Elephas maximus indicus: one gene and its partners. The protein of the gene in region 4 purifies or fractionates together with the protein of the main gene of each other region. This does not show direct contact. Links are inferred from orthologs where the notes say so. Each region holds a gene or a part of one and is shown on either strand. Other genes may lie near its edges.

What was found.
Region 1: the proteins of CHCHD4 (region 4) and GFER purify together in Homo sapiens (co-immunoprecipitation; 3 studies listed by BioGRID and IntAct, with this or other methods). This does not show direct contact. The link is inferred for Elephas maximus indicus from reciprocal best matches to the Homo sapiens genes CHCHD4 and GFER.
Region 2: the proteins of CHCHD4 (region 4) and TOR1AIP1 purify together in Homo sapiens (co-immunoprecipitation; 3 studies listed by BioGRID and IntAct, with this or other methods). This does not show direct contact. The link is inferred for Elephas maximus indicus from reciprocal best matches to the Homo sapiens genes CHCHD4 and TOR1AIP1.
Region 3: the proteins of CHCHD4 (region 4) and SSNA1 purify together in Homo sapiens (co-immunoprecipitation; 3 studies listed by BioGRID and IntAct, with this or other methods). This does not show direct contact. The link is inferred for Elephas maximus indicus from reciprocal best matches to the Homo sapiens genes CHCHD4 and SSNA1.

The regions. Positions count from the first base shown.
Region 1 is NC_064830.1:59,085,855-59,092,791, reverse strand, and holds the start of GFER (FAD-linked sulfhydryl oxidase ALR), read right to left. Parts: upstream 3,020-6,937; 5' UTR 2,919-3,019; coding exon 2,658-2,918; intron 2,277-2,657; coding exon 2,080-2,276; intron 770-2,079; coding exon 607-769; 3' UTR 1-606.
Region 2 is NC_064842.1:42,820,145-42,827,174, reverse strand, and holds the start of TOR1AIP1 (torsin-1A-interacting protein 1), read right to left. Parts: upstream 3,011-7,030; 5' UTR 3,010-3,010; coding exon 2,532-3,009; intron 1-2,531. UniProt on the Homo sapiens protein: Required for nuclear membrane integrity. Induces TOR1A and TOR1B ATPase activity and is required for their location on the nuclear membrane. Binds to A- and B-type lamins. Possible role in membrane attachment and assembly of the nuclear lamina.
Region 3 is NC_064827.1:1,041,147-1,048,107, forward strand, and holds SSNA1 (microtubule nucleation factor SSNA1), read right to left. Parts: upstream 2,202-6,961; 5' UTR 2,170-2,201; coding exon 2,118-2,169; intron 1,657-2,117; coding exon 1,457-1,656; intron 1,016-1,456; coding exon 908-1,015; 3' UTR 503-907; downstream 1-502. Other genes in the region: anaphase-promoting complex subunit 2, read left to right, coding at 2,391-2,507, 2,809-3,431, 4,391-4,523, 5,525-5,699, 5,898-6,017, 6,443-6,560, 6,786-6,961. UniProt on the Homo sapiens protein: Microtubule-binding protein which stabilizes dynamic microtubules by slowing growth and shrinkage at both plus and minus ends and serves as a sensor of microtubule damage, protecting microtubules from the microtubule-severing enzyme SPAST.
Region 4 is NC_064838.1:39,929,488-39,936,319, forward strand, and holds the start of CHCHD4 (mitochondrial intermembrane space import and assembly protein 40), read left to right. Parts: upstream 1-3,830; 5' UTR 3,831-4,010; coding exon 4,011-4,032; intron 4,033-6,832. Other genes in the region: TMEM43 (transmembrane protein 43), read right to left, coding at 3,467-3,478.

The DNA of each region.
Region 1 (6,937 bases), on a different chromosome or scaffold from region 4:
GAACCCTGCAAACAACACAGGCAGCCCGGTCCTCAGTCAGTTCCACAACATTTTATTTTGGTCTCAACCTCAGAGGCAGCCGGCCCCTGCTGGCAATCCTGGCCAGCCACGGACAATGCTGTGTGTAGGTCTCCAGAAATATCCTGCTGAGCTCTCCCTGCAGGAAGCTGAGCAGGGTGGAGAGCTATCCCAGGCCACCTCCCTGAAGCACACAGGACATAAATGCTTTGGCCAGAACATTGTAGAGTCACTGGCTACACGGTTACGAGGCAGCAGGCTGGCCTTGTGGGGTGGACGCGTGGAAGCCCAGCCAGGCCTGTCTCCTGGCTGCCCCTTCCATTTCTGGGCAGAAGGCCACATCCCATCTGGCACAGGGGCAGCCCAGGCCACTCCTGCCTCACTCACCTGCAGCTCCCACCCCTGCGGGCCCTCAGCTGAGGGAAGGCCATGGGGGTGTCTGCCGCGGGCACCTCCCGACCTGAGAGGGCAGGCCCCGTGGGTAGCGTCCCGGGGCCACCCAACTGAGATGGGACAGGCTCTGGCTCTGATGCACTTTAATGAACGCTCCACCCACTGCAGTGGCCAGCTGGCTCCTACACCCGCCCACTAGTCACAGGAGCCGTCCTTCCAGCCATCGCGCCAGCGCTCATCCACCTGTGAGCAGTCGAAGTCTGGCTTGCCCAGCTTGTGGTTCACCTCGTTGTGCAGGTGGCACAGCCACTGGGTGAAGTGTGCCCGAGTGCGCGTGTCCGGCTGGTTCTGGCATATCCTAAGAGCAGAGCACAGAGATGATGGAGGGGGCAGCTGGCCCTACCCCTGCCCCCAGCCAGCACCTAGTCTGCTCCTGAGGGAAGAAGGCTGCTGAGAACTACACCAAGAAGAAACCCCTAAGGAAGGGACAGCAAATTCCCAGGAGAAGGCTGACCCTGCAGAGCCCTGGGCCTTGGTGGGCTCCCAGTCTGCTCAAAAACTTGCCCAGGGTCCAATAGTGTATGATACCACTTATACGAACCATCTAGAACAAACGCATTCAGAAACAGAAAGCAGATTAAAAGTTACTGGTGGCGTAGTGGTTAAGAGCTACATCTGCTATCTAAAACGTCAGCAGTTTGGGTCCAGCAAACACTCCGTGGAAACCCTATAGGTCAGTTCTACTGTCCTATAGGGTTGATATGAGTCAGAATTGACTGGACAGCGATAGGTTTGGTTTTTTGGGTTAGATGCTGGACGGAGGAAAATAGGAAATCACTGCTGAAAGGGTGCAGACTTTCGTTTGGGGGATGAAAACTTGGAAATGGACAGCTGTGATGGTCATAGAACATGGCAAATTGTACACTTACAAAATAATTAAAACGACAAATTTCATGTTATACCTATTTAACCACAATAAAACTAGAAAAAACACCGCTACCAAAAACCCCACCCATGGCCCTTAGCAAACCTAATGCAAGCCCCAGGCAAGACATTAAAGAGCATAGCAGGCAACATTACAATCTCCTAAGAACCTGGAAGCCTCACCCCAGCCTCCCTGGCCTCATGAGCCAGACACAGCAGGTATAATTGAAAACCAGGCAGTTCTTGGCACCCGAGGCCCTGCTGCCTCACCTCAGCAAGAGACTTTGCTCTGTTGCGCAGGCTTCAGACAGCCAGGGCTGTCCCACCCCACACGTGGAAGCTCTGAGAAGGCCCTGCCAGAGGTGTGGGAGAGGACACCTGGGTGGGCCACACACCAAAGCCTAGGAGCAAAAGCAGTGGGTTCCCAAGGTCTGAAAGCCAGCAGCCCTGCTCCAGAAGTCAGGCAGAGTGCAGTCGTCATTGTGGTTAAGTGAGAGACTGCATTGAGAAGGCTCTCCTGAGAGCCTTGTGGTACAACAGGAAGTATCTTCCAGCAGACCCAGGCAGTTTGGCCTCTGAGGGGGAAAAGAGATGGCCCAAGAACCTAATCCCCACTCTGCTGAGCTCCCAGCTCCTTCGCCACCCTCTGCTGCTCCTCCACGTATTTCTAGGTTCTCCCCTATGACATCACCTCCAACTCAGGCCTCTCGGTTCAATGCTCTCACCTGTGCACACACAACTCACCTCTTCCTTATGTCTTCGGCACACTCCTCGCACGGGTAAAACTTGGAAAATAAGTGTATGAACTGGGCCATGTCTTGCTGCTGTTCCGGAGTGGGCAGGTCGGGGTAGTAGGCAGCCAGGGTGTGGAGGACAGCCCAGCTGTGGCGGCCCAGTTCCTCCCGATCTTGAGGGCAATCCTCCCTAAACTTGCTCTCCTGCTGCAGAAAAAAGTAGACCAAGGGTCAGTTCAATCTCCTCAATCAAAAGAGCGCAAACCTCACCTTTTCCTGCCCCACTCGGAGGCCCACTCTCTCCAGACAGCAGTTCAGCAGCCGATTCAGCCCATGAGAGGCTGAGACAGACAAGGCCAGGCCTACCTTGAGGGGGTCAAAGTTAGGCATAGCGGATAGGCAAAAGTCAGGAATGAGGCCTATCGGACCGCTCGGCCTCGGCCTATTGGGGCGTCTCCCAGGGGCACCTGAGAATAAGGTGAGGGGGCTCAGGAGGCAGGGGACGAGGGGGGTGTGCGGGTGGGGGCTGGAGGGTCGGACGGGGCTCACAGGCCTCGGCCGGGAGGTGGCGCCCCTGGGCACGTGCACCTTTCGCTGCGTCCGCATCCAAGTCTTGAAATCCACGCAGGCCCGGCAGGGCCGCCTCCGGGAGGCGTCCTCCTGCGGCTCGGGGATCTGCGCTAGAGCTGGCGTCGGGGCGGGGGCGGCGGCATCTCTGCGCCCCGCGCCCCGGCCCCGGCCCCGCGCGTCGGTCGCCAGGTCGTCCACCACCTCGGAGCGCGCGCCGCCGGGCAGGAAAGAGAAAAGTCCCCCGCAGCCGAACCGCCCCCGCTCACCGGGCGCCGCCATCTTGCTCGCGCAAGGGCTGCCGGGCCAGCTCGGCCTCCAGAGCGGCCTCCAGGTTGGCCTCCAGGTCAGCGCGCCGCCGCATGAGCCTGGGACGCGCGCTGCGGGCGTGGCGGCTGGGTTTGGGCTGGGGCTGGGGCTGGGGCTGGGGCTGGGGGCGGGGCTGGAGGCCGCCTCCCGGACGGGGGTCCGGGCCCCTGCGGCGGCGGCGGGGCGGGAGGCCAGCACCCTGCCCGCGACCCTCGGCCTGCGTCCGCGTCCCGGGCCCGGCTTCCGTTGCGCGGAGCGGCGCTCCCGCTTCCTCCAGTAAAAGACCAGTGTGGTGTGGAAGCTGCGGCGCGGCGCGCTGGGCTCGGGCTGAGGCGCAGGCGAAGTCCAGGTGGAGGCCCGCGAAGACCCCATCGCTGCACTCGGACTGTCCCGGGTGCCCATAGCCGGGCTCTGTGCCTTTCCTGAGACTGGTGGTGCGCCCACCGGCGCAATACCCCGGCACCTGGCAACGGGCGCTTGGCAACGCGGGGCGGGGCCCTAACGGCCAAAAAGGTAGTGCGCGTCTCGGCTGCTGCGCGCACCCATCTGCTCCAGAGGGCAGTGCCTCCTCGGACCCTACAGCTTGGATAAGGGGTTAAACCCTCCCGAGGAACGGACTCAAGCCTACTTCAGCTTCCTTATGGTCATTCATTCATTCTGCACATATTGGTGCCGGTCTTCTTTGTTCCAAGGACTGTTCCAGGTGCTGGACAGAACAGGAACAAGGCTCCACCCTTGAAGGCCTCAGCTCATAGTCCAATGGTCAAGACAGAAACAACCAACACAGAAGCACACAAATAAATATTCACTTACAAACAGTGGGTAGGGGCATGTACCAAACCCAGTGCTGTCGAGTCAGTACAGGGCATGGTAAATTCAGGAAGCCACTGAGGAGGTGACCCTTCAGTAGAGACCTGAAGGGTGATGAATAATGCCTGAGGAGGGCAGTCAAGGCCCAGGGCCCGAGGTAGCAGGATGCTGGTGATGGTGACCAGAAGGGAGGTCCAGGAGTGGGCAGGGGCTGTCACACAGGACCTTGGCCTCTGTGGGACTGGGAATTTAAGGGTGTTGGGAAGGTGCTGGATGGTTCTGGGAAGAACCAGTGGACATAATCTGTTTTCTGTTTGCAAAGGTCATATGGGGAGAGGGTTTTATGGGACAGCATTGGCAGTGAGGAGCTGTGGTGGGTAGTGGTTGTGGAGAGGAAGGGAGTGGGGAGGATCCAGGGTTGATGGGGTTGGGCATTGTGATCAGGAGGGGCCATAGCATTCCCCTAGATTGCTGGCTACGAGTGAGCCCTCACCTTTCCCTGGCTTCTCTCTTCTCTCTTCCAGAGAAGCAGGCTCTGGACCCTCAGCATGGTCTCCTGAGGATGGATGGAGGGTGATAGCTGAGTTGAAATCAAGCTTTGATTCAGACCTGTGTCAGCAGGTGCTCATCACCTGGGTGGAGACCAGGGCAGGTGTGAGGGCTCCGGGGGGGGGGGGTCCTCTGGCCAGACAGACACACATACACACAAAGGCCTTTTGATGAAAAAAGAAAATGATGAGGCCAGGGCAAATTCCTGGAGAAATGTCTAGGGAACAGAGACTCCTGAGAAAGCTGGGTCCCCAGTTCCAGGAAGAATCACTGCTCTTCCTGTGGGTTGGATGGGGCTCCGGAAGTCTCCTCTATAAGAAGGTGGGGCACTTCCCCTATAAGTGGTGGGCACCCAGGCAAGCCTCTGCCCAGGGCTTCCACAGCCTCCCCGCCCCACTGCCCAGGCTGGTGGGGGAATGCTCACTTCTGCCCTCAAAGGCTAAGGGTGGGATTTTCCTTTGCAGTAAATTGTGACAAACTATGAATTTAGAGGCTGCTCCTTGAACAAGCCTGGCTGCCTGCCACCTCCCCCTTTTCCTTCTGGCCCAAGTCTCTTTACCATGTGGTAAACTTAGGGTGAGCCTGTGGGGGTCCACCCCCCATGTGCACATGTACAGAAAAACTCACATTAATTATCAGTTTAACATGAATTTCCTCATCTGTGGCTTGGGGGCATTAAGAGAACTGTTCTCTTAGCATTAAAAGAGACAAAGGACTCTAAAGCCCCTAGCACTGGGTAGGGATATTCCCGATGCAACTGCAGACAGCTCCACAGGCACGTACAAAGACAGAGCCTAGGGGTCCACCTACAGGAAGCCCTCCTGGCCCCAGCCCTGCACTAGAGGAGAGAAAGCTTGGGCCAGGCAGCACTTTGATGTGGGGACTGCCAGCCCTTCCCTCTCCTTCCACTGCCAGACTGGGACAGAAGGGCCTCACCCACAGTTCCAGTCCCTCCACCGCCCCTTCCTCAGGACACAAAGTCGTGCATACCTCCAGGGCCTCTGCCTTGGGCCTCCCAGCCCTGTGCTCCTGCCCCCCATATCTTAGAGTTAGGGGGCAGTGGGGGGAGCCTGCGAGGGACCCACAGCTGAACACCTCCCCAAGTGACAAGCCTGGCCAACTTCGGGCCTTGTCAGGGAATTTTGGCCAGCCCTGCCTGTTCCTGGGAGCCCCCAGCCGGCAGGGAGGAGGCAGGGACCACTGAGCCTCAGCCACTCAGCCATGGCAGGCCCCCGATACGTGGTGTGTGTGCGCGTCTACGCCCTGGTGCAGACCAGGAGACTCCAGGTACTCCATGGGGTCACTGGCAGCCCCAAAGGGGAAGGTGTAGTCCCTGGCCCCGCCCCTGCGAGGATCCCCAACTTTTTTTCCCTCAGAAGTTCTCCGTGCGCTGGTAGGACAGGCGGTGACACTTTCGTGCTCAGGCGTCGCGAAGAGTTCAGAAAGCTCCACGTGAGTGACCCTGGGGCGACCCCCGAGTCCCCGAACTGCCTCCAATGCATGACTCCCGAGTGACCCCCGCCTACGGGCTCTCCTGTGCCCCGCAGCTTCCAACCCCTACAGTCCCGACTCGGCCCCACCGTCGCGGAGGACCCCTGAGCTCTCGGAGACCTATCCGCCGGCTTTTTGCCGCGGAAGACCCTTCAAGAGGCCTTCCAGATGGAGGCGGGCCTGCTGCGCAGATCCAACCTCATTCTCCCCGCGCTTCCTGGTCAGGCCGGGGGGGTTGGGACATGGGTGAGGGACCCCGAGACGGGGTCCCACATTCAACTCCTGTCTTGCTCCCACACGTGCCGCTGTTGGCGCGCGGGGGACGCACGGGCCGCGGGCTGGCTTGCCTCCGGCTCCTAGAGGCTTATGTCCAGATGCTGCTGATGGCGGTAGAAAGCGTGTCCCGGCGCCTGGCGCTCAACAGCTTCTTCGCGCCGCAAATCCTGGACCTGTAGCCCACGCTGCCACCCGGCAGGTGCCTGACCTACCCCAACTCCCAGCCACAGAGGCATTTGGAGGATGGGGAAGCACAGGGTGTATGGGTAGGAGGGGTCACGCAAAGACTGGGAGATTGGGCAGATTTGTGAGAGGTGGGGATGGTGGGTCCATTCCCACCTATCACCTGCAATCCTCCTCAGCCTGGTGATTCCGACCGCCCGGAAGGAGCCTCTGCCGGACCCTGTGGGCAGGCTTGACATCCGCAGCCTGGAGGACCAGAGACTGCACTGCCTACTGCACCCAGGACACACGGGGCCAACCCTTCCATGTGCAGGCCCGGGAGGCCCTGGATGTGCTACTGCGACAACCCTCGGGTAGGGCTGGGGAGGAGTCTGGGCTGCCCTCTGCCCCTGATCCCAGCGGGCCTCGGGATCTGAAACCCCGCCGCACTGGCGCACAGGCTGGTGCCTGGTGGAGAACAAGGACAAACAGATGGCCTGGTTTCCCTCTCCCTACCTGGAGGAGGTGGCCCCAGGCCAGGTGCGGGAGGGGGACACCGCCGCGCGGGAGCAGCAGTACGGGCCCTCCAATGCCTGCCAGCACAGTTTGAGCAGAGGAAGAAAGTACCCCAGCCGAGGAAGGAGGCCGTGGGTTTGGGCGGGTGTAAAAGTGGGTGGCAGGGTCCTCATAGCAAGGAGGCCCTA
Region 2 (7,030 bases), on a different chromosome or scaffold from region 4:
CTCCTGAGACTATCGCCCTGGGATACCCTTCAAACCACTCCCAGAGAACACTTACCAGCCAAAAGACAGAGTGGCTCATAAGATAAATAATATAACCCGTAAGTGCTGTGCTCCTCTAAACAATCTAAATGAGACCTAACGGTCAACATTTACCCTAGACCAAAGATGAGAAGGTAAGGGGGACAAGGATGCTAGATTAATGGAAACAGAACAATCACAATGGAAATAATAAGAATGCCAATACATTGTGAAAAGTATAACCAATGTCGCTGAATAATATGTATAAAAACCAAACCCGATGCCATCGAGTCGATTCCAACTCATAGCAACCCTAAAGGACTGGGCAGAGCTGCTCTGTAGGGTTTCCAAGGTGAATCTGAACTGCCGGCCTTTTGGTTAGCAGCTGAGCTCTTAACCACTATGCTGCCAGGGCTCCGAATAAATATGTATAGAAATTGTTAAATGAGAGCCTAATTTGCTATGTAAACTTTCTCCAAAATCACAATATTAAAAAAAAAAATGAATTCATCAGAATATAAAAATAAACTATTCACCACTGGCGCTTTATAACAAAAATATATTCAGAAAATTTAAAACCATAGGCTAGAATCATCAAAAATTACACGGCAGAAAGCGGAAGAGTGAAAAATGTTTAGATTCTTATAGATTTACTGAAGTAAATTCCTTACTAGTCAAAAAAAGGGAAAAAAAATTTAGCCTAAGCACTTGGGTTACGAGTCAGTACACTGTAACATGTATTTATTGTTTACCATGCACAAAGCATTCTCCTAAGTACTGTACTGTACCTTCAAGACATTTCAACTCACAGCAACCCCATGGGACACAGGAGAACTGCCCCATAGGGTTTCAAGGAGCAACTGCGGATTCCAACTGCTGACCTTTTAGTTAGCAGCCAAAGGCTTACCCACTGTGCCATCAGGGTACTGAAGGAGATACAGAATTAGCATAAAGACTGAAGTATAACATGATCCTTCAAATACATGTGTTAGGATCTTTGTCTTAAGTAAGTTTATAATCTTAAAACAGATATATATATACACACACATATAAAAACCGAACCCATTGCATCGAGTCAATTCTGGCTCTTAGTGACCTGCAAGGACAGAGGAGAATGGCCCGTAGGCTTTCCAAGGAGCGCCTGGTGAATTCAAACTGCCGACCTTTTGGTTAGCACCCATAGCTCTTAACCATTATGCTACCAGGGTTTCCATATATATAGATACATACAGGCTCTACTAACTTACATATCTTTAACACGAACCTTCCAAAATCGACAAGCCTTCAAATGTGTAAACACTTCACGTGTCTATAGCCTATAACAGCTCTATGCTGAAAATCACTGCCTCTTCATAGCCAACAATGGTCTACACTATGTCATCCCATTGTGACTGAAACCTCACTCCCCCGCCCCCCACCGCCGCGATTTGTTTCACGGGTGCCTTACAAAGGGCTAAGATGAAACTTCACCTGTGACTCTGTTAAATCCCCACAGTCAGGATGGGAGAGGATGGGTTAAGGAGTTGATTCACCTGTGACTTACCTAAACTACACACACTGCCAGCATCCTTTTGGCCCATTTAGAAGGACCTCGGGTGCTAAGCAAAAGGTAGGCAGTTCAATTCCACCAGCTGCTCCTTGGAAACTCTATGGGGACATTTCTACTCTGTCCTATACGGTCGCTATGAGTCAGAATTGACTCGACGGCAATATACTCACACTGCCAGCATCCTGTTGGCCCATTTAGAAGAAAACTTCCTAATTAACACTCTTGCTACCACTGAGGCTAGACGGAGGGCCTCTTAAGGTGGCAAATTTTGGCAGACACCAGGATACTTGCGCACAAGTTTATCAGGCATTGGAGAGTTTCAGTTCAGGATAACTGACCTCATCTAGGTGTATGGATTTGGGTGGGGTCTCAAGTTAATTCACCAACTCCGTTATCCCTAGCAACACCCACGCTCTCAAAATTTCCCCTCTCCCCCCTCACCAGGATGAGGATGGAAAAAGACTGTAAAGTTTGATTACAACCATGATCCTGGGCTGGGGACTTGTGGCCTTTGAGAGTTAAAGAAAAAAATAGTAGTGACTTTGGTAGAAACATACTCAGGGCAAAGGGGATGGAAATGAAAACTGAGACCACCGGAATGATTCGGGGTCCCGACTGCCGCCTAACTCGCCACCCCCTTGTGGAGACGTGCAGACAGGGGCAACCCTGACTCCCCTGAGGTGATGCCCAGGGGTGGACAGCAGCTCCTCGGTTCTGCCTCAGTAGTCCCCTGTGACCTCGTTTCCCGCCCTCTTGCCAGCGCCCCTCTCCCCCAGCTCGCTTCCCCTTCCGCCCGCGGATTGGGGCGGACCCTGGGCGGGGGCGCACATCTAGCCGGGCCCGAGGAGCTACGAGTCTCCTCGCCAGGACGAGCCCCGCGGAGGCGCACAGCCGCCGCGAGCGCGCACAGCGAGTTCTCCCGCTCCCCGGCTAGCGGCTAAAACGTTACCTCCATCGTTCTCACCTTCGGAGGAATAAGAATTCCGTAACCCTCTCCTGGTCATAACCGGAGACGGCTGTGGCAGAGACTGCTCCGAGAGCTGTTGCTGTAAGCGGATAGCCCTTCGTGCCTTCATTTCCGTGGCTTCCTGGGGTTGCGGCTGCCTCCGCTGCCGAGACCGAAGGTAGTAGGAGCTTTCTTTTAGTTCCTCTTTCGCGGAGTCAGGCCGGAACTTTTCTGGCGAGGTTCGTCTTCCTAGCGGAGGCCTTCCTTTGGGCACCCGGGGCTCGAAGTCGCCGTACACTTCTGGCGGTTCCTCTGAGAACCTCACTTCCCGCCGGCCGTGGCGCGATGGAAAAGAACTTCCGTACGCCGACGCGTCACTGCCGCTGCCATTTTGAGGAGCAAGCCGGCGCCTTCCCTCCCTAAGGGGGGCCCTGGGCGTGACGTACACCCCCCATCCTTCCCGCACCGGCTCCACCCACCGCCCGTCGCCCGCCATAGTTGTTGACGTATCTTCAGCCGATTGCGAAGGTGCCTTTGGGGCGCTTAGATCCTCCTGCCGGTGGTGGCGATGGCTTCTCGGGGTGTTGGGCAGTGGTTGCGGTGGTCAGGGAGGTAGCTGAGAGTCGCCGGGGCCGCCACCTGCGTCGTCGCTGCAGTGCTGCAAACCCGCCTCTGGGCCCATGGTGGCTCCTGTGGGCTGTGGGAGAGGCAGTGCCTGGTTTGGGTCAGCTGCTGTGGGTCACTCCCGCCTCCTGGCTGGAGGCACCAAAGAGGAGGAGAAGGAGGAGGAGGACGTTGCTGTCCTCGGCCTTGAGGGAGGGAGGGGAAGGGGCAACAAAAAGGGACAAGTGGCTGCGCAAATTGCCTGTCCTAAGCCCGGCGCTGCCGGCAGGTGTTGGCTGCGCGCAGGAGACGCCTGTCATGGCCCCCTGGACCGAGCGTCTGGGAAAAGCCAGTGGGACGAGGGTGAAGACTTGTTTCAGTCCTCGACTTCAGGCTGTTGCGCAGTTTTCCTGGGATGTCTTTTGATCGACCGCTACCGTGGCCATACCCTTTCAAGTGTCCCTGGCAAGAGTGACGCTTACGTCTTTGGCACATGTCTTCTTTTCACGGCGAAACTTAAAATTTCAAGTTTCTTATGAAGGCTGTCACCCAGTTTTAAGTCACCCGTTAAGAGTGTACAAAGTCGTATCTACTGTCGAACTCGGTGGATCTCCGTTTTAGAGATGCGTGCATAGCATACGTTCGAATATAAGCTCTATTCCAACAGCAGGTTCGTAGTACTGCGTTATGCACAGTGAGAAATAAATACTTTTTATTAAAGGCAGTGCTGTATTTTAAGTTGTGACCCATTATTTTCATTTTGATCCTGGGCGTGGCTTGATATAGTGCATTTGGTTTAGAGTTCCTGTGTTTACTGAGTAAAAAAAACACGATAAAAGCCATTTGTTTCCCCACCACGCTTAGAGATTTGGATAATCAGCAAATTAACCAAATTTAGTAAGCTGAGGGAAAATCGATTAAGTCTGAATAATTATTGAAAGAAAGCTGTATTATATACACTCTTGTCTGCTTGGAGGGCTTTATGGTTGATTGTAGTAAGCAGATGAAAAAAATTCGTAATTTGGATACCAATTACAATGAATAATTATGAAAAAATTGAAGGTGCTAACAGGTTTCTTTCAAGTATTTTACTTAATCACCTTAGAATGTTTATTATACTCATTTGCTCAAAATTGGGCCAAATTTCAATTTAATTAAGTCTTTTTTTTTTTAGGTGTATTATGCTTTCACTAATAGTCTAAATTTGGTTACAGATACAAGGAATTACATGCTTTAGAGAGTCTCTTAGCCCGTTAAGAGCTTAGCTTATTTTAGCTTCGTTTATTATAAGCTGGAGGAAAAGTAAAGAGAGGGAGTTTTCCTCCTCCTTTTTTAATCTTTTAAGGGAAATTGAAACAGGTATTGTCCCTTGTTAGCCTGGGTTAGGTGGTACATGTGGAAAATTTGCAGGACACAATGCAGAAAAGTAATAATACTTGGTAACAATTGGCTTTTATTTATGGTTCTTTTAATTAAAAAATACGTATTGTATCTTTGGTGAAAATTTACACTGCAAATTAGGTTCCCATTTAACAATTTGTATAGTACTATTCAGCCACATTGGTTACATTTTATTTAAGTAATGCCTTCTCTATAGCATGGTTAGTATATTACTCATTATTAACACATAACAGTAAATGTTTGTTAATAGGTATTATTAAAAGATATAAAACTTTATTAATACACAAAGTTCATATTATGATTATTAAAACATTAAGAGCCTCTTTGAAACATTTACCAGGAAGGTGACTATATAGAAATGTGGATACAGGTTTATAAAACTTAGGTTTGGAGGAGATATTACAAGAGAGAATGATGAGAGCTTTTATATATTATTGAATAATCACATATATTAATTTGTAACTTAAAATGCTTTTAAATGCTTAAAAACAGCTTTCAGAATAAATGAATCATGAGAATCTTAAAAGTGGAGTCACATTCACTTAGGATTTTCCCTCTGTTTACGTAATAAGGATACATAATCCCAGCTTTTCTGTAACTGCCTCCCACACCTAGTAACTTTACAGATAAAATTGTTTTTGTACATGAGTTTTTTGTTTAGGGTAAACAAATTCTAAGGAGCCCTGGTGGTGCAGTGGTTAAGCACTTAGTGGCTAACTTAAAGCTTGGCGGTTTTGAACCCGCCCAGCTACTTAGCAGGAGAAACACCTGGGGATCTGTTCCTGTAAAGATTACAGCCTAGAAAGCATTATGGAACAATTCTGTCACACGGGGTCGCTAAGAGCTAAAATCAACTTGATGGCACCTAACAAAAAGTAGGAATCCAGTTATTTACCAAGTAAACATCTATAATATTCGCAACGTTTCTGGTCGTACAGGGAAATACCTTTGGGGTTCTATCTTAGAAAAGGATAATGTTAATTTTAATAAGGAAAGGTGAATAAAATATTAAATAAGAGGAAGTAAATTTTAAGGATATAGTAACTGGCTCCACCCCCCCCATTCTCACAAGTGTTAGAAAAACATTTTAAGGACTCTTAAGATAAGTGAAAACATCTGCTGGAAATGTTATGCTGAAATTAAGAAAACTTAATGAGGTGAATGGAATATAATACATATTCTCCATATTCTTTGTTCAGTTAGAAATTAGTCAATGAATAGAATCTAAGGGTGTTCCCAATCCTGTGACTTCTGCTAAAAGAAGATATCAGAGAGGTGAAGGCACTAAAAATCAAATACTATAGGGGTTATTCAGTGAATATTTGCACTTCTGCTATGTACTGGCCAGTCCCTGCCTTTCTAGGTCCTGTGGATACAGCAGTAAACAAAATAGACCAAAAGACTAACAAAAATCCCTTTCTGACTTCTTGAAGTTTATATTCTAAGGGAGGAAACCAAAACAAAAAAAACAAACCCACTGCTGTCGAGTCGATTCCGACTCATAGTGACCCTATAGGACAGAGTAGAACTGCCCCCTAGAGTTTCCAAGAAGCGCCTGGTGGATTTGAACTGCCGACCTTTTGGTTACAGCCTTAGCACTTAACCACTACGCCACCAGGGTTTCCTCTAAGGGAGGAGTCAGACAAAAATCAAAAATAGTGTGTTGGTCATAAGTGTCATGGCAAAGGAGGCTATTTACTTGGAGAAGTGAGTAGATATCTTCTGTTTTGTCTTGCACTGATGTTCAGAAACTGGAAAACCTGAATTTTAGACTTAATTTACTTTGCCCCTAACCAATCATATGTTCTTGGGCAAATCACTTCCCTTCCTCCAGTTTTCACATTTATAAAATTAATAGGTCAAAATAATACCTCCTTTTTATTGATCATTCACTAATATCATTTAGCAGCTATCGCTCTCTACGTCATCTCATTTACTCACAGCAACCGTATTAGTCAGGTAGTATTGGCCCCACTTGATGCACGAGCAGACTGAGGCTTAGGTTAAGCAACTTGAAAAGACACACCTAGTAATGGCAGAGGCCGGATTCTAAGCCAAGTCTGACTGGTGCTTGTCGTTATCATTTGGTACCGCCTCTCACTGTCATGGTTCTGTGGGTTTTTCCAGCCTATGAATTTCAGATCCTTAAGGGGTCAGGGGCGTCAGACGTCTTGTAGAGATGCCTGGCTTCTGGTCAGGTACCAATCAGCATAAGAATCTTGGGATGTCTGCGGTTCTGTTGTGCGCATTTACCAAGTCTTTAGTTCCAGCGCCCCGCTGGCTGCTGGGGTTTAGGGTGTGGAGGGGAAGAGAGGGGGAAAGAGAAGGGAGGGGAGAGACCGGGAGACTACTAGTCCCAGCATGCCGTGGGCGCCTCCCGGCGGAGGTCGCCGTCACGTGAGCAGGGGACAGGGGACAGGAACGGTATTTAGCGGCTGCGGCCGTGGGGTGTAGCCCAGTGTTGTGGAGCAGGAAGAACACTCGAAGGCTCCCCGCACATTTGACAGTCGACG
Region 3 (6,961 bases), on a different chromosome or scaffold from region 4:
AAGGATGGGGCCCAGCAGCGCAGGGAAGAAGAGAAGTGGACAGAAAGGGTGTGAAGCTATAAGGCCTGTGTTCAGAGGAACCAGCGTCCAGAAGGGGGCTGGCGTGCACACTCAGCCATTTCCAACTGTCCTTGGGCCCGGCTATGGTGTGGCAGAGAGCACGACCAGCAGATGAAGGCCCTCAGAGAAGGATGGGCTGTGTCCTGGATTTGGGGGAAAGTAAGTGGGGGTCGGGTGAGACAGGGATAGAGCAAGTGGCCGTAGGTGAAGCAAAGGTCTGGGGCTGACATCTGCAGGTAGGCGGAGGAGGGTCATGGGAGATGCCCAGTGGCACCCTCTGCATCTGAGACTGGGGCTCTCAGTCACAGGGAAAACCACTCCAAGTCCCCTTTCCCTGCCCCGCCCCATGGAGGAGCCACCATACCCAGCCAGAACCTTTGTGGGCTAGCTCTGGGGGTGGCAAGCAGCCCCATGTACTCGACACAGGCACAAGCCAGCACGATTCTTTACAAAGAAAGCCTTTATTCACACAGTCACGGGGCACTAGGAACAAGCTCTGAGGTCTCAGTTCTGAGGCAGAAGAGGGCCCAACCACTACCTCACTTGCCTGGGCCCCTGCTGGCCAAGGAGGGACAAGGGAGGCAGAAGTCCTGGGGGTTGAGACTAGAACCAGCAGCACAGGGAGGCGTGGAGGTTTTGGAGTGCCCTCCCCAATTGCTGCCTGCTGGGAGCACCACGGAGCCAGATCCCTGCCTGGTAGGCTACTTTTCTCATCCAGAGCTAACAAAGGCTGCAGCTGCCTTGATACCAAAGACAGGAAAAGAAGGTGGCTGCTGCCATACAGAACAAAGACGCTTTATTAACAGGTTTCCTGGGGGCCAAGTAGCCTGGCCCACCCATGGCCTCGTCAACTGTCCTTGCCCCCACTGGCCTTCTGCTCCGAAGCCGTGGCCTTGGTCAGGTTCCCAGCTTCTCTCTTCAGGACACTAAGCAGAGTCTGGGAGCTCTCCAGGATCTGAGACCAAAGAAAACACAGGCTGGTCATTGATGCTCCCGCCTGGGGGGTACCCGGGGACAGGCAGGGCCTGCAGGGGCCTCTTCCCTCCCCAGGTCTGGCCAGTGCTTTGTTCTCTGCCGGCCCCCCGTCCATCACACACCGAGCAGAGTGAACCTCAGGAACAACCGTGGTAGGAGAACATGGGCTGGGACACACCATGTTCCACAGACAGCATTCTCCTTTCCTCAGTGGGCCCAGCCGAGATGTGGGGAAGATGCAGACTGCTCGCTGGGACCCCTTGCTCCCACAACTGAATGCCCCTGTGCTGAGCCAGGGTCCGGGGAGGGGAAGGGAAGCCTCTACTCAGGAAAGCCCCCAGTCCTGAACCCCCTAGGCACTCAACGCTTGCCCACACAAGGGATCGGCCTGGCCTGTGGCCCCAGCTGCCTCGAGTCCCACCTTGAGGTAGGCAGCTTCCGTCTCCGCGATGGTCCGGTCAAACTCGTTTCGAGAGGCGATCTTTCGAGCCAGGTTCTCATTGACCCGGGCCAGCTTCTCCGTCAGCTGCCTCACCTCGTTCTGCAGCCGCTGCTTCTCGTCCTCTTCCTGCTGGATCTGGCGGCACAGCTCCTCGCGCTTCTGGGACAACTCCTCGATGCCTGGGGCGGCAGGAAGGAGAGCAAGGTCCTGGCTAGGCCGCCTTCCCTCCAAGGAGGGCCAGAGTCCTGCCTCTCGGGGGCCTCTGGATACAATAAGGCGGTGGACGTGGGCGACAGCGCTGTGCCTGGGAGGTAGTGCTCACTACAAACACGCGGCACTCAGTGCGCACTCGGTGCGCACCAGGCGCTCTCCCACGCGCCTTCCACGCACAGTGACCGAGCTGGGCGGGTCCTAATGTACCGCTAGGCCCACCCTGGGGCCAGGAGGCCACGCACGGACTCGGCGCGACACTTGCCCACGGCCACGCAACTGCTTGGCGGCCGCGCGCCTACTGCCTGGGGCCCCGCCGCTGGGCCGCCGCCTCCAGCGCCCCGCTGCGCCCGGGCGGCTGTGCCAACGCTGGCCCAGGCCCCTCCGCGGGCTACGACCGCCCGGGCTACACGGCGCGGGACGTGCTCACACTTGACCAGCTCGTTGTTGTAGTTCTGCAGCGCCGCTCCCTGCTGAGTCATCGTCCCGGACACTCGCCCCTCCGCCGCCGCCGCGGGGATCCCGGTCACTCCAACCGCCGCCGCCGAGCACTCGCCTGCGCCTGCGCAGTGCGCACCGAGAGCGCGCCGACCTGCAACGTCATCGCCGCGCGCCTCTTTTGCGTCATCGCCCTGCGCCGCGCCCGGCCCGTGCGTCAAGGAGCCGCGCTGATCCGGGCGGACCCGGGAGCCGGTGGGCCCAGATGGCTGCAGAGGCGGCGGGGGCGAAGGGGGACTGCGACCCCGCGCCCGGACAGGAGCTGTTGGTGGCCTGGAACACCGTGAGCACCGGGCTGGTGCCGCCGGCTGCGCTGGGGCTGGTGAGGCCCGGAAGAGAACGGCGGGCTCGCGCGCGGTCCCCGCGAAGCTTTAGGGCCTCCGCCTCTGTCCATCGCCCGTCTCTGCCCTCCCGCCCTCCTCCACAGTCCCGCATCTTTCGGCTCCCTTGCCAGCCCTTCCCAGCGTCGGCGCCACATCGGCGCGCTGCGGCCGAGGAGCGGCGGGGCTCGCGCAGCCTCCCCTCCGCTGCACTGCCCGCCTTTCCCGCCTGCCGCTCCCCTCCCCCGCCACGTCCACTCGCAGCTCTGCGTTCCCCTCTCCTCACGGTTGTCTGCACTGTAGGCGTCCTCTCGGACCAGCGGTGCGGTCCAGCCAAAGGAGGAGGAGCTCCGGGCGGCTGTGGAGGTTCTGCGGGGCCACGGCCTGCACTCAGTCCTGGAGGAGTGGTTCGTGGAGGTGCTGCAGAACGACCTGCAGGCTAACATCTCCCCCGAGTTCTGGAATGCCATCTCCCAGCGCGAGAACTCCGCGGACGAGCCCCAGTGCCTTCTGCTGCTCCTTGACGCTTTTGGCCTGTTGGAGAATCGCCTGGATCCCTACCTGCGTAGCTTAGAGCTCCTGGAGAAATGGTCTCGCCTGGGATTGCTGATGGGCACTGGCGCACAGGGGCTGCGGGAGAAGGTCCACACCATGTTGCGGGGTGTTCTGTTTTTTTCCACTCCCAGAACTTTCCAGGAGATGATCCAACGTCTCTACGGGCGCTTCTTGAGAGTCTATATGCAGAGTAAGAGGAAGGGGGAAGGAGGCACCGACCCAGAACTGGAGGGGGAGTTGGATAGCCGATATGCTCGCCGCCGTTACTACCGGCTCCTGCAGAGCCCACTCTGTGCTGGGTGTGGCAGTGACAAGCAGCAGTGTTGGTGTCGCCAGGCCCTGGAGCAGTTCCACCAGCTCAGCCAGGTCCTGTGAGTACTATGCGTGTGGCCACGCCCCTGGGCCTCCTGATTTCCCAATTGTTCCTCTGGGTCTGGCTGCAGAGAGCTGGTCAGCTGGCCAGGGGCATCCCAGAGGGAGGGGGCCCTGGCACCCTTGGATGGTGAGTTTTGAGCCTTTGGTCTTGGACCAGTTGTATCTCTTTAGTTTTTGTGCACAGCCCAGGAGTTGACACTTTGCCCACACTGAGACCCTATGTGACTTGTGCGTGCAGCAGATTTCTGTCCCCATTCCAAACTTACTGGCTCCCCAGAATTCTGCTGTACTGCCTGTAGGCTAACGGGAGTGTACGTAGCCTGTGATTGTGGTTGCTGTGCCAGTGGGTAACAAACAGGGGGCTCACCATTTCTTCTGTGCTGAGCGTGTCAGGCAGGCAGATTTGTGTCCCCATTCTCTGGGAAGGAGTTCTTGTTGGCTGCAGCCAGGCTCTGCTGTCTGCTCCCTCCAGCGCGGTTATGATTTCTGTCATGTTGAGCAAAGTGGTTGCGATGCCGTTGTTTGGAAGGGGTCTCTTAGTTAGATTTGGATCAAGGGAGTGGTCCCGCTGCTGCCAAGGGCCCTAGAGGCCCTGAAGGGCTTCTGCTAGGCTCATCCCAGTTGAAGGTTGTATGGAACGCTCTTTCTTGTTTCCTCGTGAGTAGCTTTATTTTTCTAGACCAGCGTTCGTGCTGAAAGGTGCAGACGGTGGTATCTATGTTTACGTGGCCCGGGTAGCAGTGATTCAGTTGCTGTTTCCGAGCCAGGCCAGGGAGATGGGGCTTGGGCCTCTGGTAGCTCCCCTGCCGCCACTTCCTACGGGAATGGCCATCACCCCAGTCTGGGCAGTCCAGCTGGGCAGGCCAAATGGCACCTCGCCAGTGCTCTGTTCTCCCAGCAGCTTTTCCACAGAGCCCTGGCACAGCTGACACTGCACACACTCGTCTGTTCTCAGACACAGACTCAGTTTGCTGGAACGGGTCAGTGCCGAGGCTGTGACCACCACGCTGCACCAGGTGACCCGGGAGAGGATGGAGGACCGCTGCCGGGGCGAGTACGAACGCTCCTTCCTACGGGAGTTCCACAAGGTATCGCCGCCTTTGCTCCGTCCCCTTTGGAAGTGTGCCAAAGTGCAGAGACGGAGTGGGCTGGGACCTCGAAGGTAGTTGAGGCCATTCCGGGGGCTGCACTGATCATGTTGCATCCACGACGTGCTGGGTGAAGTCTTAGCGGAATCACACGGTTCGAGGCAGTGCCAGGGCCAAGCAGCGGTGTGGCCAGGCCCACCTGAGAGGGACAGACTGATCTCCTTTTAGCTGCGCCCCCCGGGGACTGACCCCTTGCAGCCAGCCTGCATCCCAGCATGGCCTGCGCACCCCCATGGGGCAGAGGAGGAGGGGCAGGAAGAGAAGAGCAGCCAGGGCAATGGGGGAGACTGGGGAGACAGCCTGGCAAGGTGGGGTCGTATCCCAGGGTGGGCCTCATGGTACTGTGCCATCCACAGACAGGCTTGGGGCTCTCCCAGAGCTGGCGGAGAGCTGGGACCAACCGTCGTGGCTCCCTGCTTTTCACCTGTTCTCACTCCGCCATTTCTGAGGGTCGCTCTCCAAAAATGACGGTTAGCATGGTTGAAGGAGGTACAATAGGGGTCCTCCAAGCAGTGGGCAAGAGTGGTCATGAGCCCTGGCAGCCCAGCTGGGACGAAGTGCAGATTCCCAGATACTGGAGTGAGCCGGGGACTCAAGGCGCAGCAGCCCAGGGCAGCTTGGGCTGTCTCTGTGGTGTTAACCCCACCCACGTCTGGGACGCCTCTCAGCAGGATCACACGTACACACACACACAGGAGTGACTTTGTCCCGCACTGCTTTGTTTGTGAAGGGCAGGGCACTGGTAACATCTGTGTCCTGGAGGGGTGTACCCACGCGGTGCATGCAGCGTGTGAGTGTGTGTGCAACTGTCTCACTCACGTGTGACATCAGTGTCAGTGGAGATGAACAGGGGGGCTGACGTGCATAGAGGGGGCTGGAGTCAGGGCCTGGGGCGCCCGTGCGCTGCCAGCCTCCACCTCACAGCCGTGCCTGCCCCACAGTGGATCGAGAGGGTGGTCGGCTGGCTTGGCAAGGCGTTCCTTCAGGATGGCCCTGCCAGGCCCGCATCCCCGGAGGCTGGCCACACGCTGCGCCGCTGGCGCTGCCATGTGCAGAGGTTCTTCTACCGCGTCTATGCCGGCATGCGCATCCAGGAGCTTTTCAGCATCATCCGAGGTCTGCCTGCCCTCCTGGCCTTCACTGCCCGTCCTCCAGGCCCATGTCCATCCGTCCCGGGTCTCCTTGTCTTCCTGGGGCCGGTCGGGGTTGTGGCATGGGCACACACGTGTGAGCGTCGCTGCAGAGTCCCAGGGAGGCTGCTCAGCCATGCTCGGTGTCTGCGTATCCTGTGTGTGAAGGGGCCTCTCCCCACAGACTTCCCAGACTCACGGCCAGCCATTGAGGACCTCAAGTACTGCCTGGAGAGGACCAACCAGAGGCAGCAGCTGCTCGAGTCGCTCAAGGCGGCACTGGAGACCCGGCTCCTGCACCCAGGTGCTGCACTGTCTCGCCACAGATGGCACATCCCAGCCACGGGCGCCCCCGGGCCTTCGGGGACTAACGAAGCTGTTTTCTGAAGTCCTTTAGGGGGCAGGGTGGCCCCCGCCCCATTTTTTGAAATTGAGTTTGGTTTGGGGTGATGCCCTCAGGAGAGACTGCTTAATGGGGAAACAGTCATCCTTATAAAGCTTTGAAGAAGGCAGCTGGGGGTTCGAAGGAGGGGGTTCCCTGATCAGGTTGCCAGGCTCTTCTGTGCACAAGTTCAAGGTGGTGTGCTAAAGACCATCTGACCGGGCTGTACCATGTGAACACATGGGGGTTGCTGTCCAGGGTGTGGCCAGTGGCAGGGAAGGGCGGGCAGTTTGGCCTGACCCCACTGTCCCACAGCCCCTGTAACCATTTGATCCCTCTGGCTGCAGGCGTGAACACATGTGACATCATCACGCTGTACATCTCTGCTATCAAGGCACTGCGTGTGCTGGATTCTTCCATGGTCATCTTGGAGGTGGCCTGTGAGCCCGTCCGCCGCTACCTGAGGTGAGCTGGCCCGCCAGCCAGAGCCTGTCCTCCATGCGTCTCAGTCCTGCTGCTCCAAATGACTTGCAGAACAAGTTCGCCAGGCCCTTGTATGCCCCTGGCCATCAGTGATGTGCAGACTGGCCTGTGGTTCAGTCACCCCGGGGCCAGATGCCAGCCAGAACAGCCCCACTCAAATGCCTTGTGCATTTGTGGTGATGGTGTAGATTGCTTGTTTCCTGGCAGGACACGGGAGGACACAGTGCGGCAGATTGTGGCCGGTCTGACTGGGGACTCTGATGGGACTGGGGACTTGGCTGTCGAGCTGTCCAAGACTGACCCTGCGAGCCTGGAGACTGGCCAGGACAGTGAGGATGACTCTGGTGAACCTGAGGACTGGGTTCCTGACCCTGTGGATGCCG
Region 4 (6,832 bases):
CCATCCTGCACTGAGTTGGGTGGGGGGGAGGTGTCAATGGAGAGATTCAAGACAGAATTTCTGCTTCAACAAAGCGGATACCAAGTTCTTCTGCTTGTCCCTGAATGCCACCACCACAGGCTTGTCAGGGACTAGGTGTCCATTGTGTCCAGAAATGGTCTTGACTTTCCATGCCATTTGGAAACATTAGTGGAGTTACTCACCATAACAAAGATGGTAAACATCCCTGTCTACCACATGCCCGTCATGGACAATCCCAAGGCGGTGGGTGCCATCACTACTCCTATTTCACAGATGAGAGAACCAAGGGCTGGGGGTTAAGTCACCTGCCTAGATCACATAGTCAATAAAAGATGGACTGATTTAGGATTCAAATTCAGGCAGACTGGAGGCCACTCTCCTACTGCTCTGCTCCAGACTGCATTCTGCATTTCTTCGGCTGTAATGTGAGTTGAACCCTGGGAGCCAGCCGTGGGCAGTGACGGAAAAGAAGAGAGGGCAGCCCCAGCCTTGGCCTCCCCTCAGCTACCTTGAGAAGCCAGTATCAAGAGAAGGGGCTCAAAGACGGCCTTGAAGGGAGGGAAAAGAAGCACAGGGGGTCCCCCCAGGCTAGGGTTATGGGTAGGAGGTGACACAACACACACAGTCCGCATTCTGAACTGATATTCCCAGTAAACGTGGAGGCATATTTATCCCCAACGACACATACCCAGCTCTCAGGGCTCAGAGACAACGTGGTAGGAACCGAGATCCACATCCAGGCCTTGGAATAGGACAGAACTGGATTTAAACCTCAGTTCTGCAAATCATGGGCTCTGTGACCCTTGGCTGTTGCTCCACTCTTCTAATTCTGTTTATTCCCTGTCTTAGTCATCTAGTGCTGCTATAACAGAAATACCACAAGTGGATGGCTTTAACAAACATAAATTTATTTTCTCACAATCTAAGAGGCTAGAAGTCCAAATTCAGGGCATCAGCTCCGGTGGAAGGTTTCTCTCTCTATCGGCTCTGGAGGAAGGTCTTTCTCCTCAATCTTTCCCTTGACTAGGAGCTACTCTGCACAGGAACCCCCAGCCTAAAGGACCTGCTCTGCTCCCGGCCACACCCCAGGGAAACTCCCTTTACATTGGATCAGGAATGTGACCTGGTAAGGGTGTTACAATCCCACCCTAATCCTCTTTAACATAAAATTACAATCATAAAATGGAGGACAACCACAGAATACTGGGAATCATGGCCTAGCCAAGTTAATATACATATTTTAGGGGAAACATAATTCAATCCATGACATTCCCTTATAAAATAAGATGGTATAGTACCTCCCTCACAGGACAGTTGTTATATGGCTATGAATTCTGTCACTTTTCTTCTCTGATCCACCCTTCCCTCTTCAGATCTTTCTTCTTCACCAGCCTAGTAAACCAAAAACCAAACCCACTGCTGTCGAGTTGATTCCGACTCCAGCCTGGTAGCTCCTGTAAATGTGCACCCAGCTACTGGATGAATAAACCAAGGCTTGGCTGCAAAGGATAGCTAAGCAAGTCTGTTACCTGACAAAGTGTCTGGTCCCAACATATGTGAGACGGTCTCTGCCCAAACCAGGACAGGGAGATAGACACAGTCCAGCAACTATGAGGACAGAATTTCTTTTTTCCATATATTAAGTACCTACTATGTGCTTTTTTTTTTTTTTTTATGTGCTAGGTGGTACAGTGATTAAGAACTGGGTTGCTAGCCAAAATCCACCAGCCATTACTTGGAAACCGTGCAGGGCAGTTCTACTCTGTCCTATAAGGGTCGCTATGAATCAGAATCAATTTAATGGCAAAAGGTTTATGTGCCAGGCGGAGGCATGGTAGCACAGTAGTTAAGAGCTCGGCTGCTAACCAAAAAGGTCAGCAGTTCAAATCCACCAGCCGCTCCTTGGAAACCCTATGGGGCAGTTCTACTCTGTCCTGTAGGGTCGCTATGGGTCGGAATTGACTCGACGGCAACAGGTTTGGTTTTTTTGGTTTATGAGTCAGGCACTGTGCTGAGCAGTCTGGCTTAAACTTCACAGCAAGCTATAGGAGAGAAACCATTACTGATTCCATTTTACGGACGAGGAAACATAAACCAGAGAGAGTAAGGCCACACAGCTACTGAGCAGAAGAATCTGGATCTGCCCTCAGGGCTGCCTGACTCCAAAGGCACCTCTTCAGCACCTTCCCATGACAAAACCATTCCCTGGAGCAAGTGCCTCTGCCTGCTGGGAAGTTCCACATTGTAAAATATGGTGAGGGGAGGGGCAGCCAAGAATCCACCTACTGGGAGTGGGATGGCCTCCTGGCTGCACCCTCCTCACAGCAGACCCTGGGCCTCTGGGTCTGAAAGCCCACGGACCACCTCAGCTCAAGGCTTCTATCCCCCACACTCCCAGGGCAACACTAACCTGAAGCAGAGCGTGCTAGGGTTGTGGGTGACAAACCCTGGTCTCTCAGGGGGCGTGGGAAGCAGAGAATGCTCAGGGACAGAGAAAGGGTATGGAAAGCGGGTGTAACAAGCCAGGGGACGGTGGCTGGAACACTCCATCAAAACACGAGGGAGGGTGTGTGTGGGGATGGCAGGATGCCCAGGCTGGCTACAGAAGCACTTTCACACAGAGGAGTGGTGAGTCACCAGCTTCTCCCAATCCAGCACCCTGCAGGAGGTGCTGCTCCTCCCTTTGTCGAATGAACGTTGGGCGTAAATAGAAAAGCTCCTGAGAAAGGCTGGCTGCAAAGAGAAGAGGGCAGCCTTTGGAAGGGAACCACCTTCAGCCAAGGCCTCTTTAATCAAATCCCCTCTAGAAGCAGGCGGATCCGGCAGTTGGGAAATGCGCCTTCTCACCATAATCCTAACTCTTGCGCCCCAGCTCAACCCGAGCCCCTTTGCTGCATCACGGCCTCGATGTGCATACATCCCTAGAACGGGGACCTCACTTACCGTCGGGCCAGCCCTGTCCGTTGGTGGAGAGCTCCACTTGGGGCCGGAACGGCCACCCCGCCCTCCCCACAGACAGGCCTCTCTCTGAGGTCCCCTCCAGCTCTCATATTCTGCAAGTTTGAGAACCCCAATTTGCTCACATGGAGTCTCCACGAGTCGTGATCACCTCGATGCTAACTAACAACAAGTGCCCAGGAGGGAACTGGGAATGAAATGTAGGGCCTCAGGTAGGCGCCGCGCTCAACAAGATGCCACTGCCAGAAGCGACACCTCCCGGGTTTCCCTCCCCACAAACGCGCGACCCGAGGATGAGCTAGGCTAAAGAATATGGACAAGCGGAGGATGGAGAGATTCAAGATAGATCAACAGGCTGACGAGCTGCCAGCGGCATGAACACAACCGTGCAGAGGTAGACAGACAGCGGTCAGACGAACAAAAGGAACCGGAGGCCCCTGGGTGACGGCAAGTCTGGGTGTGGCCCGGGTGAGCAGGAGACACTCACGTTCGCGGCCATCGTGGCACCTGGCTCGTCGCCGCCTCCTCGCTCTGCTCAGCTAGAGCTGACAACCGGAATCCAGTGGCCTCTTGCCGGCCGGGAGCTGCAAATGCCGGCGTGGGGTCCAGGACAAGGCGGGACTTGCTACAGAGTTACCACCCCAGGCGCCCCCATTCTTCTGAGCACGCGCGCCGCAAAGCCTCCTGGAAAATGCAGTCCGTGGAAAGCCCGGAGTCACAGGCTTCCGCCACAAAGTTGCAACATGCGCGGAACCGCACTCGTGCGCATGCGCATCGCAGGACTTTCTGGGAAATGTAGTTTCTGCTGCCTGGAAAGGGGCCATGGGACACGCAGCCTCCTGGGAAATGTAGTTCTCAATTGAGGGGCCGGGCTGAAGCTAGGAGGGCGCGGAAGCAGGCGCGCGGCGGGCAGGCCTGGAGGGGGCGGGCCCGCGCGGGCCTCGGAGCCGCCCGCCCTACCTGAGAGGAGGTCACGGCGTGGATCCGCCACCGCCGCTCGGGCTGCGAAGTCTGAGTGCCCGGCTGCCGCCATGTCCTACTGCCGGCAAGAAGGTAGGGAGGACGAGCAGGCTGCCGTGGAGACCGGCCTACGAGGGCCTGCAGGGGACACGGCACCCGGACAGCCCCCGCAGGCCCGGGCGCCCCGCGACCCCACGGCCGGCCCGGCAACCCGAGGCGCAGTCCTGGGCGCCGTCCTCGGGACCCTAGGGGGCGGTCTGGGCGGCAGAGTCTTCACCCCATTCTGCAGATGAGAAAACCCAGGCTCTGGGAGGAACGGGGCTGGTCCAAGGTCATGGAGAGTCTTGAACCCTGGCCTCAGAGGAACCAGCACGTGCGAGATTCATAAACTAGGCCCGGAGGGTGCACGAGAAATGCTGAGCACGTTTCCTGGCCCGTAATTGGGAATTTATTAGTATTAATTATTACAGTCACTCTCACCACAAACCACGTGTTTCCATACTGCATGCGCCTTGTTCCTGTCCCGAAAAGTTGCCCCTCGGGTCAGATGCTGTGCAGGAGTGGTAGAAGTACCCCTGGCGGGAACACTTGTTAGCCCCTACTAACCCTGGTGGTGTAGTGGTTAAGAGCTAGGCTGGTAACCAGAAGGTCGGCAGGCCGAGTCCACCAGGCGCTCCTTGGAAACCCTATGGGGCAGTTCTCTTCTATTCTGTCTTGTAGGGTCCCTATGAGTCAGAATCGACTCGACAACAGCGGGTTTGGTTTTGGTTACTACGTCAGGCACTGTTCAAGGAGCTGTTACATAGTTTATTTCACTGGCCTTTCAGCGATCTAAGTCAGCTCCTGTTTTTATCCCCATTTTACCGAAGAGTAAATTAAGGCACAGAGGGGTTTAAGTGACTTGGCCTAAATCACATGGCCAGTATGTGGTGGAGGTGGGTATGAGCCCTGGCATCTGAACTGCACTATCCAATCTGGAGCCTGGGTTCCCAGGAGCCTTAGGCCAGGAAGGCTTCCCCTCCCCCGACAAGGTGGGTCACCACTCACGCCTTTCTGTTTCCCTGTTGTTACCACTAGGCCAGAGCTTGGAAGGTTAGATGGTACCAGTGCCTCCTCATATGCTACCACTAACTGATCTGCCATCTAATTCCTCCCGGCCCCACTTTCCAGTGGTGTAAAATGAGAAGTTGAGCTTCATTCATTCTGCAAATAATCATGAAACACCTCTGTGCAGGGCCGGTGGACACTTAAGAATATAAAATTCCAGAGAGTCGGAACTCACCCAGAGATTTTTTGGTCAATAGTCCTGTCCCCTCAGTTTAACTCAGGAAACCTGAAGCCCAGAAAAGGGGCTCACCTGTCCAAGGGCATGCAGCCAGTTAGGGGCAGAGCTCCTCGTAGAATGATAGGCCTTTTCCCCAATACCCCAGCCTGCTTCTGGAACTTTTCCTCCTTCCCTGGATCATAAAGCCATAATACTCACTGATGTCTCTAAAAACCCATTGCCATCGACTCTGACTCACAATGACCTTATAAGACAGAATAGAACTGCTCTCTAGAGTTTCCAAGGCTGTAATCTTTGTGGGAGAAGATTGCCACATTTTTGTCCTGCAGAGTATCTGCTATGTTCAAATCACTGACCTTTCAGTTAGTAGCTGAGCATTTAACCACTGCGCCACCAGGGCTCCTTCTAATGTCTCTAATGAGCACTGTTTCCTGCTGATTAATAATTAAGTCTGCCATAAACGAAAGTCCTCTGCCCTAACCAGTTTATGTTAGACAGTAAGTCCTTTGTCCTATTTTTAACTCCCTTTCTCTTAGTCTCAAGTTTACTTCATTTAACAAATCATTTTTGACCCTCTTGGGTACAGTGAGGCTGTGCAGATAAATAACACCTCTTCTGTTCTTGAGGAGTTTACAGCAGTCACAGGTTCTCTGGGAAGGAGGGGCAGTGTCCCTCTGCCACCAAAGCGTGAAGCCCTGTCTTTTCCTGGTTCAGAGGTCTCTCTCTTCCTTAGTTTGGAGATGAGAATTGAAAGTACTCACTTGCAGGCCTGTTTTAGTTGTTACTACAGGTTAAAGGCCTTAGCTTGGTATTCTAGGTGTTTTGCAGTGTGAACTCAGCCTTGCTTTGTGGCCTTGGGCCACCCGTACTTCTCCGTCAGCTCCACACTGCTCCTTTCTTTGGTTTCTTCTCTTCCTAATACTGAGCCTGCCCTCTCCTGTTAAGTCATCAAATATTGAGCATCTGTATGTGCCAGCCATTGGACATATATTAGTGACAAAGGTGACACAATCTGTGCCTTCCTGGCATCTGGTGGAAGAGAGGGGCATTAAAGCACCAACAGTTGTCATTGTTGTTAGGTGCCCTTGAGTTGATTCTGACTCATAGCGACCCTCTGTACAACAGAACGAAACGCTGCCCCAGTCCTGCGCCATCCTCACGATCCTTGTTATGCTTGAGCCCATTGTTGCAGCCACTGTGTCAGTCCATCTTGTTCAGGGTCTTCTCTTTTTTGCTGACCCTCTACTTTACCAAGCATGATGTCCTTCTCCAGGGACTGATCCCTCCTGATAACATTGTCCAAAGTATATGAGATGTAGTCTCACCATCCGTGCCTCTAAGGAGCATCCTGGTTTTACTTATTCCAAGACAGATTTGTTCATTCTTTTGGCAGTCCAAGGTATATTCAATACTCTTCGGGAACACCACCATTCAAGGGTGTCAGTTCTTCGGTCTTATTCATTGTCCAGCTTTTGTATGCATACGAGGCAGTTGAAAACACCACAGCTTGGGTCAGGCGCACCTGAGCCTTCAATGTGACATCTTTGCTTTTCAACACTTTAAAAACATCTTTTGCAGCTGATTTGCCCAGTGCAGTGCATCTTTGGA